Linked DNA regions of Struthio camelus. The protein of the gene in region 1 binds, or shares a complex with, the protein of each later gene. Links are inferred from orthologs where the notes say so. Each region holds a gene or a part of one and is shown in the gene's direction. Other genes may lie near its edges. The genes, in order: PTH1R and PTH.

The links.
Region 2: the proteins of PTH1R (region 1) and PTH are in contact, whole or in part, in a cryo-EM structure (PDB 9JR3), measured with the Homo sapiens proteins. The link is inferred for Struthio camelus from reciprocal best matches to the Homo sapiens genes PTH1R and PTH. Residues at the interface, in NP_000307.1 of Homo sapiens: Val31, Met32, Thr33, Lys34, Glu35, Gln37, Ile38, Leu41, Glu111, Trp112, Asp113, His114, Ile115, Ile135, Tyr136, Asp137, Phe138, Arg146, Arg162, Thr163, Ala165, Tyr167, Val171, Leu174, Thr175, Glu177, Glu180, Arg181, Phe184, Leu187; in NP_000306.1 of Homo sapiens: Ser32, Val33, Ser34, Glu35, Ile36, Gln37, Leu38, Met39, His40, Asn41, Leu42, Gly43, Lys44, His45, Leu46, Asn47, Glu50, Arg51, Val52, Glu53, Trp54, Leu55, Arg56, Lys58, Leu59, Asp61, Val62, His63, Asn64, Phe65.

The regions. Positions count from the first base shown.
Region 1 is NC_090943.1:2,173,755-2,181,107, reverse strand, and holds the start of PTH1R (parathyroid hormone/parathyroid hormone-related peptide receptor), read left to right. Parts: upstream 1-4,219; 5' UTR 4,220-4,304; intron 4,305-4,753; exon of another isoform or gene 4,754-4,926; intron 4,927-5,111; 5' UTR 5,112-5,270; intron 5,271-5,509; exon of another isoform or gene 5,510-5,646; 5' UTR 5,647-5,969; coding exon 5,970-6,044; intron 6,045-7,353.
Region 2 is NC_090946.1:25,615,547-25,623,570, reverse strand, and holds PTH (parathyroid hormone), read left to right. Parts: upstream 1-4,931; 5' UTR 4,932-5,018; intron 5,019-6,149; 5' UTR 6,150-6,154; coding exon 6,155-6,240; intron 6,241-6,980; coding exon 6,981-7,254; downstream 7,255-8,024. UniProt on the Homo sapiens protein: Parathyroid hormone elevates calcium level by dissolving the salts in bone and preventing their renal excretion. Acts by binding to its receptor, PTH1R, activating G protein-coupled receptor signaling.

The DNA.
Region 1 (7,353 bases):
TGACTTTAGCTGACGTAAGTAGTGCATGTTTCACTTAACCTGCGTGACCCAGAGGAGAAAGGGCAGGAGATTTTTTTTTTTTGTCTAGGATGGGACTTCAGCTCCTGCAGAGAGGAAGCATTCACCCAGCTGTGAAGAAAACAATCCAGGGAGACGAGAATTTTAATATTGGGCTGTGTGAAAGTTAGCTGCAAGATAGGACCTATTCACAGTAGAAATCATTTCTGGCCAAATCCTTAGCCAGTTTAAACTGACTGTGCATTTTTTGCTGCTATTTTTACACCAACAGAAGGACATAAAACTTTTAGAAGGTTCGGGTGTAAGACGTTGGAGAAACTGAATTCAACCTTCACCACCTCCTGATGTCTCCTTAAAATAGCAACATCACATAGGCTTTGTTTAGAGCTGCATTCCTTCTTAGTTCATTATATACATATTCACGTATACAACCGAAAAGAAAAACAAAACAAAACTTAGTTGTCCAAATTACCTTTACCTTGACAGGGCCACCAGCCTGGAACAGATCTACCAAGGAGGATGGAGTCCTACTTTGTATGGTGAGAAGAGGTCATCCTTCGCGGTCCAAGCAAGGAGCTTACACACTGACATACAGCATCCCAAACAAAAGAAGATACCCAGACACACAGAATAAATCATTTTCCCTTCAAAAGTCCATAGAGAGGGGAAGGATCCTCTTTTAACCAGGGCTGAGAGAATGCACAGCATCTGGGAATGAAGGGGAGTGACAAAATCATTTTACTGGTTACCTGGTGCTGATCTGTTCACAAATGAACTAGAGCACTAGAGCCGCAGCATGAGACCTGTTCTCTACCACCCCACACATAGAGGCAGCCACCACCACCAAAGGCAGAGGGTGAAAGGTTGTATGTGGCTAGGGGACATGGTCAGGAGGACAGGGGATAGCAGGATATTCAGATCCCTTTGTTCCAAGTTCTCAGAGAAAGGCAGCATGTATAATCTAAGATGAGGAAGGAAGTTTTTGTATAAGCAACAGCGAAGCACGTTGGACTCTCAAGGGTGGAAAATGATGAAGGAGCAATACAGCAGTGGTCTATGAACTCCTGAGTGGCCAGGAGAGGGTGAGGAGGGACTGGTTGCTCATCATTTTTTCTAGCACAGGAACTAGAAAGTTATCACAAGAAGTTGGCAGGTTGCAAGTCCAGCACAAATAAAAGCAGGTAGCTCTTCATGTGCCTGTAGTTAAGCTGTGGAACACCTTGCCACAGGATCTTGTGGATTCTCAGAGGAAGGCCCTGAGCTGTAGATCTCTTCTTCAATCTGGGGGAGCAGGTGGCAGAAGCACCTCCATATCTTCTTGCTATAGCATGCACTGCCATGGACTGTCAGAGAGAAAACACTAAACTGAATGGGTCCATAACCTTTATGAGCCTATAAAAATGCTCTTGCATTCTTCCTTCTCTGCTCACAGTGACCTTGTATCGAAGACTTACAATCCAGACCACAGCAACCCAGTTTCTCTTTCACCCTTCTCTTCTGGTCTGACCTTGCATACATCACAGTCTTCCAAGGATGCAAGGGGCTCAGAAATTGCAGGGTCTGATTCTCGGCACACCATGACTCAGACAGGGACCCCTTTTATGTGGGCAAAGAACTGATAAGCTGTTTCAGGGCAGAGCTGTACTGGGGTCATGAGCATGGCGGAGATGCTCACATTTCCAGCACTGGTACCTGACTGGGAGTCTCTGGACATGATTCACTAGGACTTTAGAGGATATGTGTCATCAACCACCCCTACAGTCCTACTGTTCAACTCTACCTTCCTGCACACCTACTCTGCCCAGAGGAGAGTGAAGAAGGTTATGAGATGAGCAGAGCAGCATCCAAGAAGACCTTTCCTGTGGGTGTGAGCTCACCCACAACAGCAGGAAAAGTCGACATGAGTGCTAGAGAGCTGTGAATTGAACCTTAGATTTATTCTTCTGGCTGCTTCTGAAAGAGGGATGAGGACTGGGGAGCTGTGGAGAAGTATCTCTTCCCTCCTCCCACACGTCTTGCACGGGGTGGTTTGAGAGGAGAGATATGGCTACCATGTGGGGAAAGCCACCTTTAGATTCCGCTGCAATATGTTGAATGCTCATCCCTCCAAAGAAGAGCTATAGCTTTTGCACTTTCCATCCTCCTAGAATAACCAAGAAGAGAACGGGTGAGGAGAAATGAAGCAGGCTCCAACTACTGTATCTTGCAAGAGGCCAGCTTTGGCTCTAGGGCCTCCGGAGGTGTGGGTTCATTTTGCTTGTGGATAATGGGGATGGAAGAAAACATCCCCTATAGTCATGGTGACTATGAGAGCAAGACAAAGCCAGAGTCAGATTTCCCTGCTGTACTTCTCGGGCAGGCTTTAAACTGGAGCTGGAGGGAGGGAACAATTTCCTTCTTGTGCAGCTTCAGCAGTTCAGTGGTATCTGCCTTTAATCATTAAATGATCTGGGGGAGAAACAGCAGCCTGGAAGCATCCCTGGTCCTGTCCCACACCCTGCACATGGGGATGAGATATGGACGGGGGACCACAGGCTAAACGTGGCCATCCCCCAAACTGGATAAGATCCTGGTTTATTTACACCACCTCCTCTTTCTGGTGGTGATAGAGGGATGGGAGGGGTAGGGTAATTTAATATATGAGGCTCGCCTCTGCTTCTCTCCTCTCTCCCAGAAAGAACAGAAACCGTGACAGGGCCCCTGAAACTTTGTGGCAGATTTTTTTTTTCCCCAGAAAGACTATAGAGCGCTGAGTACATATTTACTCAGCCCGCCCCATACTTAAACACGCACAGATGCTCGGCTTCCCCAAGGGACACAGGCTCTCCCACCCCCCCAACACTCCCCCCCACACACACCCCTCGCAGAGTGCAGTGGGCAGAAGTGAGCCAGGCCCGAAAAAAAAAAACGAAACCCAAACAGAGGTGGAAATACCTGCATGGGGATTCCCCAAGGAAACGCTCTTAAAATGAAACAATCTGCCCTCCTCCTTGACCCCCTCTGCCCAATAAATAGCTTTTTAATCCACAGCACAAGAGCTTGAAAAACATCCTTAGAAGTGTTCTGCAGCTGGGGGGGAGGGAACGGGGGAGCTTTAGTGGGTTTTTTTTGCCACTGCTGTTAAATTCCTCCTCCCTCCCAACTACCCCCCGCCCCAAGGTGCCCCCCCAGCCTGCCTCCTCGCAGGCCTCGCAGCCGCATGCACTGCCTCACTGGAGGCATGTGTTGCCCGTGCAGGCTGCGAGCTGGCTCCCCTGCACGGCGGAGGGGAAGGGGGTGGGAAGGGGGGGGGTGGGAGGGGTGCACGCCTGACCCCGTGCTTCCCAGCCTGCCGGTCACAGGCTGGCTAGGGCCAGCCAATGATAGGGCCAGCCCGTGGGGGTTTTTATACCTGCCTCGCTCCCCCCGCTGAGCTGCACGCAGCCGCCGAGGTCCGCGGAGGCTGGCAGAGAGAGGCAGAGAGCTTGCAAGGAAGGAGGAGGAGGAAAAGATTGCATCAAGAGCCGAACTTTTTTTTTTTTTTTTTTTTTTTGCTCTCTCTCTCTTACAGGAAGCCCTACTCTACCTTAGCCTTGGAAAGAGCCCCTTTTCATAAAATTAGCTGAAGGCACCTATTCACAGCCACGGGGCTGTGAAAAAAAAAAAAAAAGCAACAAACCGACTGTAGAGTTTCTCTCTCTCTCTCTCTCTTTTTTTTTTTTTTCCTCTTCGCTCCAAAAAATAAAAGAGAAATGCACACAGCTCCACTCTGCGAAAACTTGATGTTTTTACCGTCTGCCCTGCGACAGATCTAGAGAGGGTTTTTGGTTTGGTTTGGGGTTTGGTTGGTTGGTTTTGTTTCGTTCTGTTTTTTTTTTTTCTTTTTTTCTTTCCCCCTGCTTACGGCCGTTCAGCTCCCTCTAACTCACCAACGCCCGGCAGAAATCCGCTGCTTCTGCAAGAAAAACAGAGAGGGGGGAGAAAAAGAAAGAAAGAAAGAAAGAAAGAAAGAAAGAAAGAAAGAAAGAAAGAAAAAGAAAGAAAGAAAGAAAGAAAGAAAGAAAGTAACGAGAAACCCGAGGCGAGCGAAGGTTTCCAGAGTTCCCCCATGAGTCAGCCCTCAGCGCAGCGCGGCGTGTGCGTGTTTGCGCGCGTGTCGCATCGCTGTCACGATCTCCAGCCCCCTCCCCTCCTCAACACTCCTCCCACGCCAAAAAAAAAAAAAAAAAAAAAAAAAGATAAGGGATGATGGAGGCTCTTTGCGGCTTCTCGAGAAAACTCCCCAAAAGGAGGGGGCTACGCTGGAGGTGGGAGGCTGAAGCGGGGGCGGCGGGGGGGGGTCTTGTCTCCCTTTTTTTTTTTTTTTTTTTGGCCCTGCAGTTTTTATGAATGAAACTGGGAGTAACGCCGCTGCCGTGAAACTGACAAGCTGGTCAATTTCGGGAGCCTCCTGCGGGGCAGAGGGGTTTCGGGGCCGGGGGCGGGGGGGTGGGAAGGGGTTGAGGGGGGGAAGGAATAGGGACGCGGCAGCCCCGCGCCCGGCGGAGCGATGCGCTCCCAAAACCGGTAGCCAGCCTGGATCTTCCCCCCCCCCCCCCCACGCAACCCCCCATCCCGTCCCTGGAGTTTTTTTGTTTTGCTTTGTTTTTTTTTACACCCCCCCCCCTCCTCCAAAGCCATGCTGCTACCTCCTTTCTGTACGCGGCGGCGGCGGGCGGGCGGCGGGAGCGCGCAGCCCGCCGGCGCGCACCGCTCCGCGGCCGGCCCGGGGCGGCGGCGGCGCTGCGCGCACGGCGCAAGGCAGCGCCTTCCCCTCCCCGCGTTTCGGTGACACTGGTGCTGGGGACGCGGGACAAGGACTGTGTGTCTGTGTGTGTGCGCGTGCGGTCGGGCGAATGGAAAAGCGAGGATTTCACACAATTCCGCGGAGTAAGTGAAAAGCGTTTTGTTGTTGTTGGGTTTTGTGTGTGTGTGTGCGTGTGTGTGTGTGTGTGTGTTTTTAACAGCGAGGATCTAAAATAAACTGCTTAAAGCGGGTGGCGGGGGTGGGGGTGGGAGCGATCTTGCAGCCCCACGCTTTCATGCCGTGCTCAATTGGCTTTTTGAAACTGCAGATCCTTTGAGACAGAGAGGGAGAGAGAAGCAAAAATCCCTATTTGTAACTAAAACACACTGCAACCTGGAAGGTTGGCAGAATAAACCTATTGTGGAGCGCTGAAATGCACTGGAATATACAAGCAAAAATCCCCAAGAGTACCACTGTTTGTAAAAAGGTAATTGCTAAGTGAAAATATTTCCAAGTTTTCGCTTTTTTTAACTTTCGACTTTGCGATTTGTTTGCATGCCGAAAAAAGAAGGAAAAAAAGCCTTTCCCCCCCCCCCCCCAAACCCCTCTGAAACCTAAAAGATAAAATTACTGGATCTAAAAATAAAGCAGTGGTTAAAAGCCTCCCCCACCCTCTCCAATCTCCCACCCCTTCCACCCCTCTCTCACTCCTTCTCCCTCCCTCCCTCCCTCTCTCTCTCTCTCTCTCTCTTTCTGTGTGTTTGCGTTTGACAAAGAAATTATTTGAACTTCCCACTGCCTCATAAAAAGGAAACAGAATAGCAGTTTTGACATATGGATGTGATTTTTCTGCTCTGAGACAGATGCACACGGAAAACAAACAGCACCAGGGGCTGCAGCTCTGAGGGAGCGAAGTTGCTCCGCTTCACATGGGCTCCTACACTGCATTTAGGGAGCTGCCCAGATCTCCAGCCATGAGAAAGCGAAGCAAAGGACCGGGGTTTCTTGTCATGTGCCTTTCTGGCTAAAACTGTGGAAACAAACAAACAATCAAACAAACACAAATTCTGGAGGGGGGGGCGGGAGGGAAGGAGAAGGAGAAATCATCTGCAACTGGAGCGCTGGAAGACCTCTCGTCCTCCTACTTCCTTGAGAGATCTTGGATGCTGGAAGAAGCCTCTTGGATATGGGATCATATCTGGTTTATCACAGTCTGGGTTTGATCCTCTGCTGCTCCGTACTGAGTTCTGTCTACGCTCTGGTGAGTCGCTGAATCTTTTCCCTTCACATTCTTGAACAAGCTGTTCGGCTGTTTCCTTGATGAGTAATTTACTGTATCAGGGATTTAGAAGGCAGAGCGCTGGTTTTTCAGACCAATGGTTTATTTCGTTGGCAGATAGTGTGTGTAGCTGGTCTCAGAGTTGCTGCACCAGATGAAATTAAAATGTCTGTGCTTCCAGAAGAGCTTGAATCACTTTTAAAACTCTCCAGAGAGAAACGTGTGCAGTTTGACAGGGAGAGGAGGCAAAGGGAAGCATTTGGGGAACAATTTAAAAGACACCTACCAGTAAGTCAAGGGAAACTTTAGTCTTTTTACGGCCCACCCACCAGCATGACAGATTTAATTTTAATTTAATCTCTTTAATCTGCAAATCTGCTTAATCTCAGCAAAACAGTGCCTTTCTGAGATTAACTTTGGAGAGAACCTTAGAGTCCAAACCTCAGTGCATGGATGGCAGATAGTTTACACTCCAGAGAATGAACGTAGTATTAACCCTTTGCTACCTGGGGCTATTTTCACCTGTTCCTGAACACACTGATAGAGACCTTTTTTTACAGGGGGAGACAAGTGTTGTAAAAAGGGCTAAACTCTGTTAAAACTGTCTTGATGGTGATGATGGGGAAGGGACTTAGCTCTACAGACCCTCTCTGCAGCCTTGAGTGATTTCTTAAGCCCTTCTGCAGAAGTGAAGGCAAATGTCATACAAAGTGAGCCATCAGATTTTAATCCATGGCGCATATACCACATTGACATGCACTTTGGTTTCTTTTTCCATCCCTGGCATCAACATCGTTGCTGCCCTTTCTCAGTACCGTCTGGTGTAGGAAGTAGCATGACCACCACCTGGGATGGTGTCTGCTGTCCAAAGAGCATGGAAATGCGTTTGGAGGGGAGCAGGTTAACCCCGATCCCAGCTCCAGCCAGGTCCTCCCTGATGCTCCAGGGACTGTCAGGCTGGGCTCATTCCCCTGGGTTTGGTGGGAATTATTTGCGACCTTGTGCAGGGCTGAGGTAGGCATTTCCCCAGTACATCCAGCATAGTGCTGGAGGGAAACATCTCATAGATGAAGGAGAAGCAGCAGCCCCTTGGAAAGAGTCGCTATTGCAGTCCATCCCTACCACTGTCTATCTCAAGCATGGATAAACCTTTCAAAGCCCAAAGAAGACCAGAAGTTGCTGGGAGGCTAGCTGTAGAGTCTCTGAGGGTTTAGTGACGGATGAGGTTTCTCTTCTGTTCTGGGGTTGGATTAGCATCTCCTCTGACTGTAGTCGACTTTGGGGCCGTATC
Region 2 (8,024 bases), on another chromosome or scaffold:
CATGAGAGAGAGATGAGGTAAGCAGGGCTCTCCGTTTAGGCTTCAAAACAGCCATGTAATGCTATATGAAACTCTATGCAGCCAAGGTGTAGGGCGGCATGCAGAGAGCAAACACCCATACATTCATGATCATATCATCAAAACATGGCATGTCCATGGTAGGTCATGAGAGAAAATCCATGATAAACAGGATACCTCTGTTATTTTATAACTTGGACAAGTTAAATTCAGGGCAAAAATAGCAGGCGTCCATTCAGACAGCATGTGATCATGGTGATCAGACTATGTGATTCATTCATTCACTGAAAACTCTAGAAATAATCTGGATCACAGTTATCGCTACAGTGTCTAGTTTATCTACCTATGTAAGCAATGTATGTAAAGTTAGGTGGCTGAGATTAGAATCTGCCAGCTTTTGTTTTCTTTCTGATCCGCATTTAATCTGTCTTTCCCTAAATGTCCATTAAACATACACAAATAACACCAATACTTATTTTTCTCACAAAGAAATTAAGGAGATTCATTAACATTGTGATTCTCAGATGAAGGATGCTATGTAACTGGAGTAAGATATACTGGCAAGCAATTATTTCCAAGCTCATATTTCTCAGTAGCTGTTGTAGCTGCTGTATCAGGCAGATCGGGCACACACCGAAACTGTGTTACGCTATCTTTTGATTTTCACATAAGGCCATTTGTTGTTTTTCATCTAACAGGAACTTGACATGTGATCGAAGCTTCATTTAGTTGCAGGAACCCAATGAACACCTGAGGATACCCCACATTACTTACATAAATTACCAAACATGCTGCTGTGGTATTTGAAAAGCCACAAATCTTGTCAATCAAACAAAGATCTGAAGAGTTTACTGACTGTCACTTTGGATCTTCATTGTGTCAAGGCAGAAACATTCTTTGGACACATTTAGAAAGGTTGTCTCACCAGTCAACCAGTGTGTCACCAATTACTTTGTTCCCTTGCTCAATGACCTACTAATACTCTGTTAGCTACAGTTCTGGTTAGAATGCATTTTATCTGAAACTGCCTGCTGAAATAAGGAAAGTGGTAAAAGCCTGATTTTGTAAATAACATGGAAATAATCTGACTTCAGTACTTAAACCTTAACTCAAATTTAGAGGATTAACATCTCTACAGGAATATTAATACACCAGATTGTACAATTAATCTGTGAAAAATATGCTCTAGTCACTTAGGGTATAATCCTAGAAAGTACTCTGTCCTCTAACCATAATCCAGTAAGGTACCTCAGGATATGTTTAGTTTCAAGATGCGCTATAATCCCTTTTCCTGACAAAATGGATAGACTGTAAGAAGGAGAATTCAGTATTTTTAGAATATGGCCATTGTTCACCTACCTGGCTGTAAAATCTGTCTAATTGCTTCCCACTTGTTTTCAGTCCTGGAGTACGATTACGTTCAATGGCACAAATTCAAAGTAAGGTGGCATGCCTCCTGCAAATAAAGCAGCACAGAGATTTTTTCACGCACAGTTGGTTAATTTATCTACTCAATCTATAAGGGAAGGTCAGGGAATAGTATTTCTACAACTGGTCAAGGAAAAGGCTTTTCAGAGGAAAAAGCTCTTCTCTCCTACACTATGATTCCATCATCTTCAATTTTCCAGGCTTCTCCTTCAGAAGAGCCACTCTCTTGTTTGATGCTTACAGCTATAATGCTTGATACCACATATTAGCTATTATCATACTACAATCTGGAGTATATTGCTATATTGTCACACTTCATATAGCATTCCTTGTTTTTAGATAATGAGAACTCTCTCTAGCCTGAGACATTTGACTGACATACTTGAAGAAATAATCACAGACTCGAACCAGAATCTTCCAACCATGATTATATTTCAACCCAAGTCTCATAAAATGTTACCCACTCTCAGCTCTCCCTCTTCCAAAGGAAAAGAAAATTCAGTATTGATTATGCAACATATAAGCCAATTGCTTGCAATCAGCCTCTGAATCAGTCTCCTATGTCTGGTAGATACCTGAAACATCTAATGATTTATAGCTTCTGGACTGTTCTATTCAGTCGTATCCACTGCTTGATGCATTGGCTCATTGGCCTGCAGTTTTCAGAATATCAGAACTTGAGAAACTCAGAATCCACTGTGTTTTTCTTCCTCCTGTTCTCAGAGAAGCAAAAATTGTCCCCTATAGATCTGTTCTCTTTTGTGGGTACCTCACTGGCAGAGGATATTTTTGCAAGAAACTGTTGGTTTTTTTCACTCATATTTTGCCACTGTATTTATATACCTAGTCTTATATGTACAAAGGCTCATGAGATGCCTTTTTTGTAGCACAGATCATATTTTATTTTTTCATTGTTTTATAAGGGTTTATATACCTCCTTTATAACATTACTGACTACATATTTGGGTAGTCTGGTTTTAAGCTTCCCACTTAACAGCACTTCAGTAAGGGTTGGTGCTGGTTTCCTGGGTTCTGCTGTTCCATTAAGTACCTCCCAAAAGGGATCTGAATTTGTTATAAGGATGCTTAAGAAAAATTTGAATCTGTACATGAATCTCCATCTTTCTTAAGTATCTTCTAAAAGACCTCAGTACTATTTTATATTGACCATTAAACAGTGGATACATTATCTTTAAAGAAAAATGTTCACAATTACAGTATTTCATAAAATAATTACATTCATTTGGCCCATTATCTGACCATTATTATAAGGTATTATAAGGTATTATAAGGCAGCTGTATTTTCAAGTAATACCACTTCTGGATATCAGGGTAATAATTCAAAACAAATCAGTAATTTTTTTCTGCATATACAAATGCACTATACCAATTCTGTACTCTAATTTGAAGTTTCTGTAATTACTACCATAGGCTCTTTTAGTTGACAAATATTGGGGTATATATTTCATATTTTTGTTATTTTCTATATCTTCTCTCATTTGAGGCAAATAGCACCATTCTGATTTGTCTTCTGTATTTTTCCACACACAAAAATATATTTTAAGGATCAAGTTTAGCAATCTTTGTTTGACATTTACGGAGCAACCAATTTAGTACCTTTGAATGAAAATGACATTGAAGAGGAAATCCTCTTTCATCATTGTCATAAAGACTAGGTATGCAGCAAATAAGCTAGCTAAAATTACATCTTTTTTAAGGGTAGCTACTGTAACAGACTATATTTGCCCAAAGCTAGCAGAGCATTTAGAATTACAAGATCATGCTCTCGGTTTTATTCAAAGCCCTAGAATGGGGTCTCTCTTCAGGATTTACATGTGAGTTGTAAGGGATGCAAGTACAACTAAAAGTATAACCTCTGCAACCCAGGTCTGCTAATACTCATTTTGCAATGACTACTAATGGTTTATTACTAATTTTTGCTCTCAGTTTATATGAAAACATCTTTTTTTATATACAGACACTAGAATTGATAATGCTTAGCCTTTAATTAAAGCTTTGTTGTTATACGCGAGAGGTTCCAAATGGCTGCCAGGCCTTTGCAAGAGCGCTGCCTTGAGGCCTAGCTTTGAAGGTTTTGTGTATGTTTACTATGATTGAATCTAAAAAATGGTGCCTTTTGTTACCAATTGTGTAGAGATTTTTCAAATCCTTTCCTGGCATTCCATGTCCATCATATATTTTTATTTACTAAAGCCTTAGGTTACTATTGCTGGCAGCCAGACCAGGAATAAACCTCCTAGCAAAACTTATCGGCCCCATAAACATCTGTATGCTTTCTCTGCGTGTGGGTGGAAGCACATTGACAACTGACTGTATCACACAGGAAACCATCTCTACCCTATTTTCTTGAACTCATTAAAGTGAGTAGTTCCTTACTTCTTAGTTTACTGTTTACTGAGAGAATCATGAGCTCTTTTTAGAGCTTTGTAGAGCTTCTGCTTATAATATTCTTTCATTCTCTTTCCTTTCCCCATGAGAATACTGCCTAGGTAAACAAATATTACAAAATGTATCTTCTATCTTTTTGTGAAATTCTATAGGTATATCACATAATCTAAACAGTGTTTCTGGTAAAGCAATGATAGCTTCCAATAGTGTGCCAAAGTGTGCAGACGTAAACCTTTTTCTTCTGGAGAAACATTCTGGAACCCAGAAGAAACATCTAATATAGGAAAAGCATCTGGCAGCCAAAAAGCTCTTTCTTCATACGTATGGGAAGTATTGCTGATTTACACACGTTTAATTTCTTAGAGCGTAGGCAAAGAGTTCTATCTTTCCTTTACAAAATGAATAAAGCACTAATATCACAGCCTCTTCAAGTGCCTCCATTACATCTAGCTTGTTTGAGCAATTCAGGGATATTCATAGGCATATGTATGACAGGATAGCAAGGGTCTAGCATCATATTTTAAAAACTTTTTAGTATCACTAGCTATTCATTAAAAACACCTTGGAAATGATCCTCTATCACATTGGTGTTTCTGCACTTCTCCAGTATATTCTCTCTCAAAGAAACCTAGTATCAGATCTAAAATGACTACTCTCACTTCCCACAACTATTACAAAAATTAGCTTTTCAATATCTTGTGTTAAGCTTGCATTTGTAGATCATTAACCCTACTGCATAATCTTAAATTCTACCTGTCTGTATTTAACATGACAAAGCTTTCTCTGTAAATCCTTACTACAGCTTCAGAGATCAGATTAGCTTGTGCGCAAAAGCTACACATAATAGGGAATCTGAATTTAAAAGTTAAACTTCTTCACAGTTACCCAGAATACTTACTTTTTGCTGAGACCTTTCTTTTCTCTGTAAATGCCCAATTAACAGAAGCATCTGAGGGTGGGTACATGAGGGTCAGGAGGGTGTGTGTTGAGAGTGACATCAACTGAGACAATAAAAGGGCTTCTAAGTTACTTAGAAGCTCTATTTTAAAGTTACATTTAAGGGGTGCACTAGACCAATTCAGTAGTCTTTAAATATACTTGACATCAAGAGACAGTCAGCTGCTGACATACCCAAATCAGAAATCTGTTTAAGATAGTATCTGGTAAGTATACTTTTTTATTTCCGAGTTCTGACTGATTTTATCATTGATTCATTATTCAGTTTTTACTTTAGCTTCTTTTCTGACTATCTTAAACATATAATGAATATAAGATCAAACTATTTTATTATCTGAACCAGATTTGTGAAATGAAGAAATCTGAGAGAGTGAGTTAGAAATGTCTTAAGTGAATCCAACTCATGAATTCATAATATTGAGTTAGATTCACTGCTAGGAGCATAACCATATTCTCATGTAAAATATTGTGCAGTAAATGCTTTTCTGACCTAGAGTAAATCTGTAGAAAATACTACAAAAATTGCACTGTGGAGTTCTATATTTATTACGTCTCAGTTATTCTGTCACAAATTGCATAAATTATAACAAAAAGATGCCTTTTCTGGCTACCAATACTGAAAATCCAAATTGGAAACTGAAATTTGAACTGTTTTATTTCTCTCTGTTGAAGCATCATCAGTACTAAGCATTCTGCAAGTATATCCCAGGTGATAGTTCAGCTGATGATATACTGAGCAGAGTAGAACTAACACTGGCAATGCAGTATTAACACTGAAAAATGGGAGGCTCAATTCTGATTTCTCTTACGTGATTAAGTGGGGAATAACATAACTCAGTATAATTATGTTACTATGCAAAAATTGTGAGAATAGTGTCAAGTTCTTCATGCTAAAGAATATGCAACTCAGTGACACACAAGGAATAGATAAAAGAAAAAAAATTCATCTGCATAGCTACATACAAGTATTTCAACATACTTGCAGCATATCAAGTATAAATGATTTCTAAATACTAACAATTTTATTGGAAGGACACGGTGTTTTGCATCCAAGTGTCAAAGTGATGGGTATTGATATGTTGATGATGCAGGGTGACTGAGGCTGATGGAAGTTCTTATGACTTACCTAAGAACACAGTAAGTTGTTCACAAAATTAGTATTAGAAATAAAGTCTACAGTTACATTCCCTGCTCTCACACATTTTATGAGGAAAATATTTTTCAGCCACTTTTCTATTGTCTTTAACTTTTTTTCTAAAATAAATTTCTTTTGAGTTAACTAAACAATAAATATTTGAAACAACCATTTACATATGTATTCATTTCTATCTTTATAGACAAAATGACTTCTATAAAAAATCTGGCCAAGACTGCAATCATTTTATATGCCGTTTGTTTTTTTACAAAGTCTGAGGGACGACCAATGATGTAAGTACATTATTAAACACTTCTAAAGTTTGGAGGATGATTTTAGCTGTTCTTGAGAAAACGGTCAATTTGTCTGCCTGCACAGAAGTTTATGTCCATTTATGTCCTTCTATCACCACTTAGTTCTTATGCATTTCTTGAAAATAGGCAGCTGAGTAGAGGAAGAAAAACCATATAAGTATTTCCGTAGCTGTGTAAGTTGCATCCATTACTAGACATGTGTGGCATCTACACAGGAGGGCATCTTTATAAAAGCCCCAGTTCTGGGAGAATCTGTAGCCTGAACTCACACTTGCTTAGACACTAACATCAATTAGCCTTGAGACACAAATCCACAGGAAATCATGCTTCCTAAGCTATAGTGTTCACAGAAAACTACCTCTGAATAAGTGCCATAATTTTATTAATCAGTTACCTATTATCATGTAAGCCCTGAGCTCAACTCCAACAGCTAAAATAAGTGATAAACTTAACTTCAGTCAAACAGCATTGTTACAAAACAGAATTACTCCACATTTTTTGCTGCCTTCTCACTAATAAATCCATTGCCATTAACAAATCACCATCCACTCTCCTTCTCTTCTCCAGATGTCATTCCATCCCTTATAAATTAGAAAGATAGGTTCTACAACTCTGTATTGCAGTACCTTCCAAAAGTTCCCAGATCTGGGTTTTGCGTGAAGACCAAGAATTCAAGGAGGGTCATGATGAGTCTCTGTCTTTGCTTTTCTTTTGTACAGGAAAAGATCAGTGAGTGAGATGCAACTAATGCATAATCTCGGAGAGCATCGGCACACTGTGGAGAGACAGGACTGGCTTCAGATGAAACTGCAGGACGTGCACAGTGCCCTCGAGGATGCTAGGACCCAAAGGCCTCGAAACAAGGATGATATTGTCTTGAGGGAGATTAGAAGTCGGAGGCTGCTCCCTGAGCATTTGCGGGCAACAATGCAGAAGAAATCCATCGATCTGGACAAAGCTTACATGGATGTACTCTTCAAAACAAAGCCATAATGAAAAGAGCCAGAGTGCTATGTCTGTCCAAGTAAGCATGTGTCTATAGATCACTGATCAAGTAGGGCATTTTATTATTATTTATTCAAATTACAATAAGGATTAAAGGCTCCACTCAACATTGCAGCCCCACTGAGTTAGGTATTTCACAACCAAATAATAATAGGTAATTGCAGCCCATCCATGTCCATTACTGCTAATTTTTGGGTATCTTTCAAATGGCTAATGCATCTTATAAATTTCAATTTCAAATACAAAATTAAAAAACAACAACAACAACAAGGTTGAAAAATCATTTAAGATCAGTTCTACCACTTTTATATGGAGAACACTTGTATGTAATCTCTATGTCTACCTGAACTGCTAATGAAAAATGAATAACCACAGCAGAACCTGTCCCCAGAATAGGGCCCCATTTTGCCTAGTGTTAAACTGTTTGACTTCGTACTAATGAAAACATGTAAATCTATATTCACATTTATTTTCAGAAAAAGGCCTAAAATAATGCGCGCTTTAATTACATAGCAGAAGCTGCAAGATATCAATTTAAGATAAAAGAGAGCAAGCATAAGAAATGAAAGTAGGAAGGCAAAGCTTAAGATTAAGGCTGAATGGGACAGAGTTAAAATAAATTCTGTAAGAAATGTAAGAATGAAATTTAGCAAAATATAGAAATGAAGGGAGGGTTTGATTACCTTCCTCTCTTCTAAAATATGACAGTCTATAATAAATTGCAGAAGCAGTTCTCTCATAAATACAGTTACTCTTTT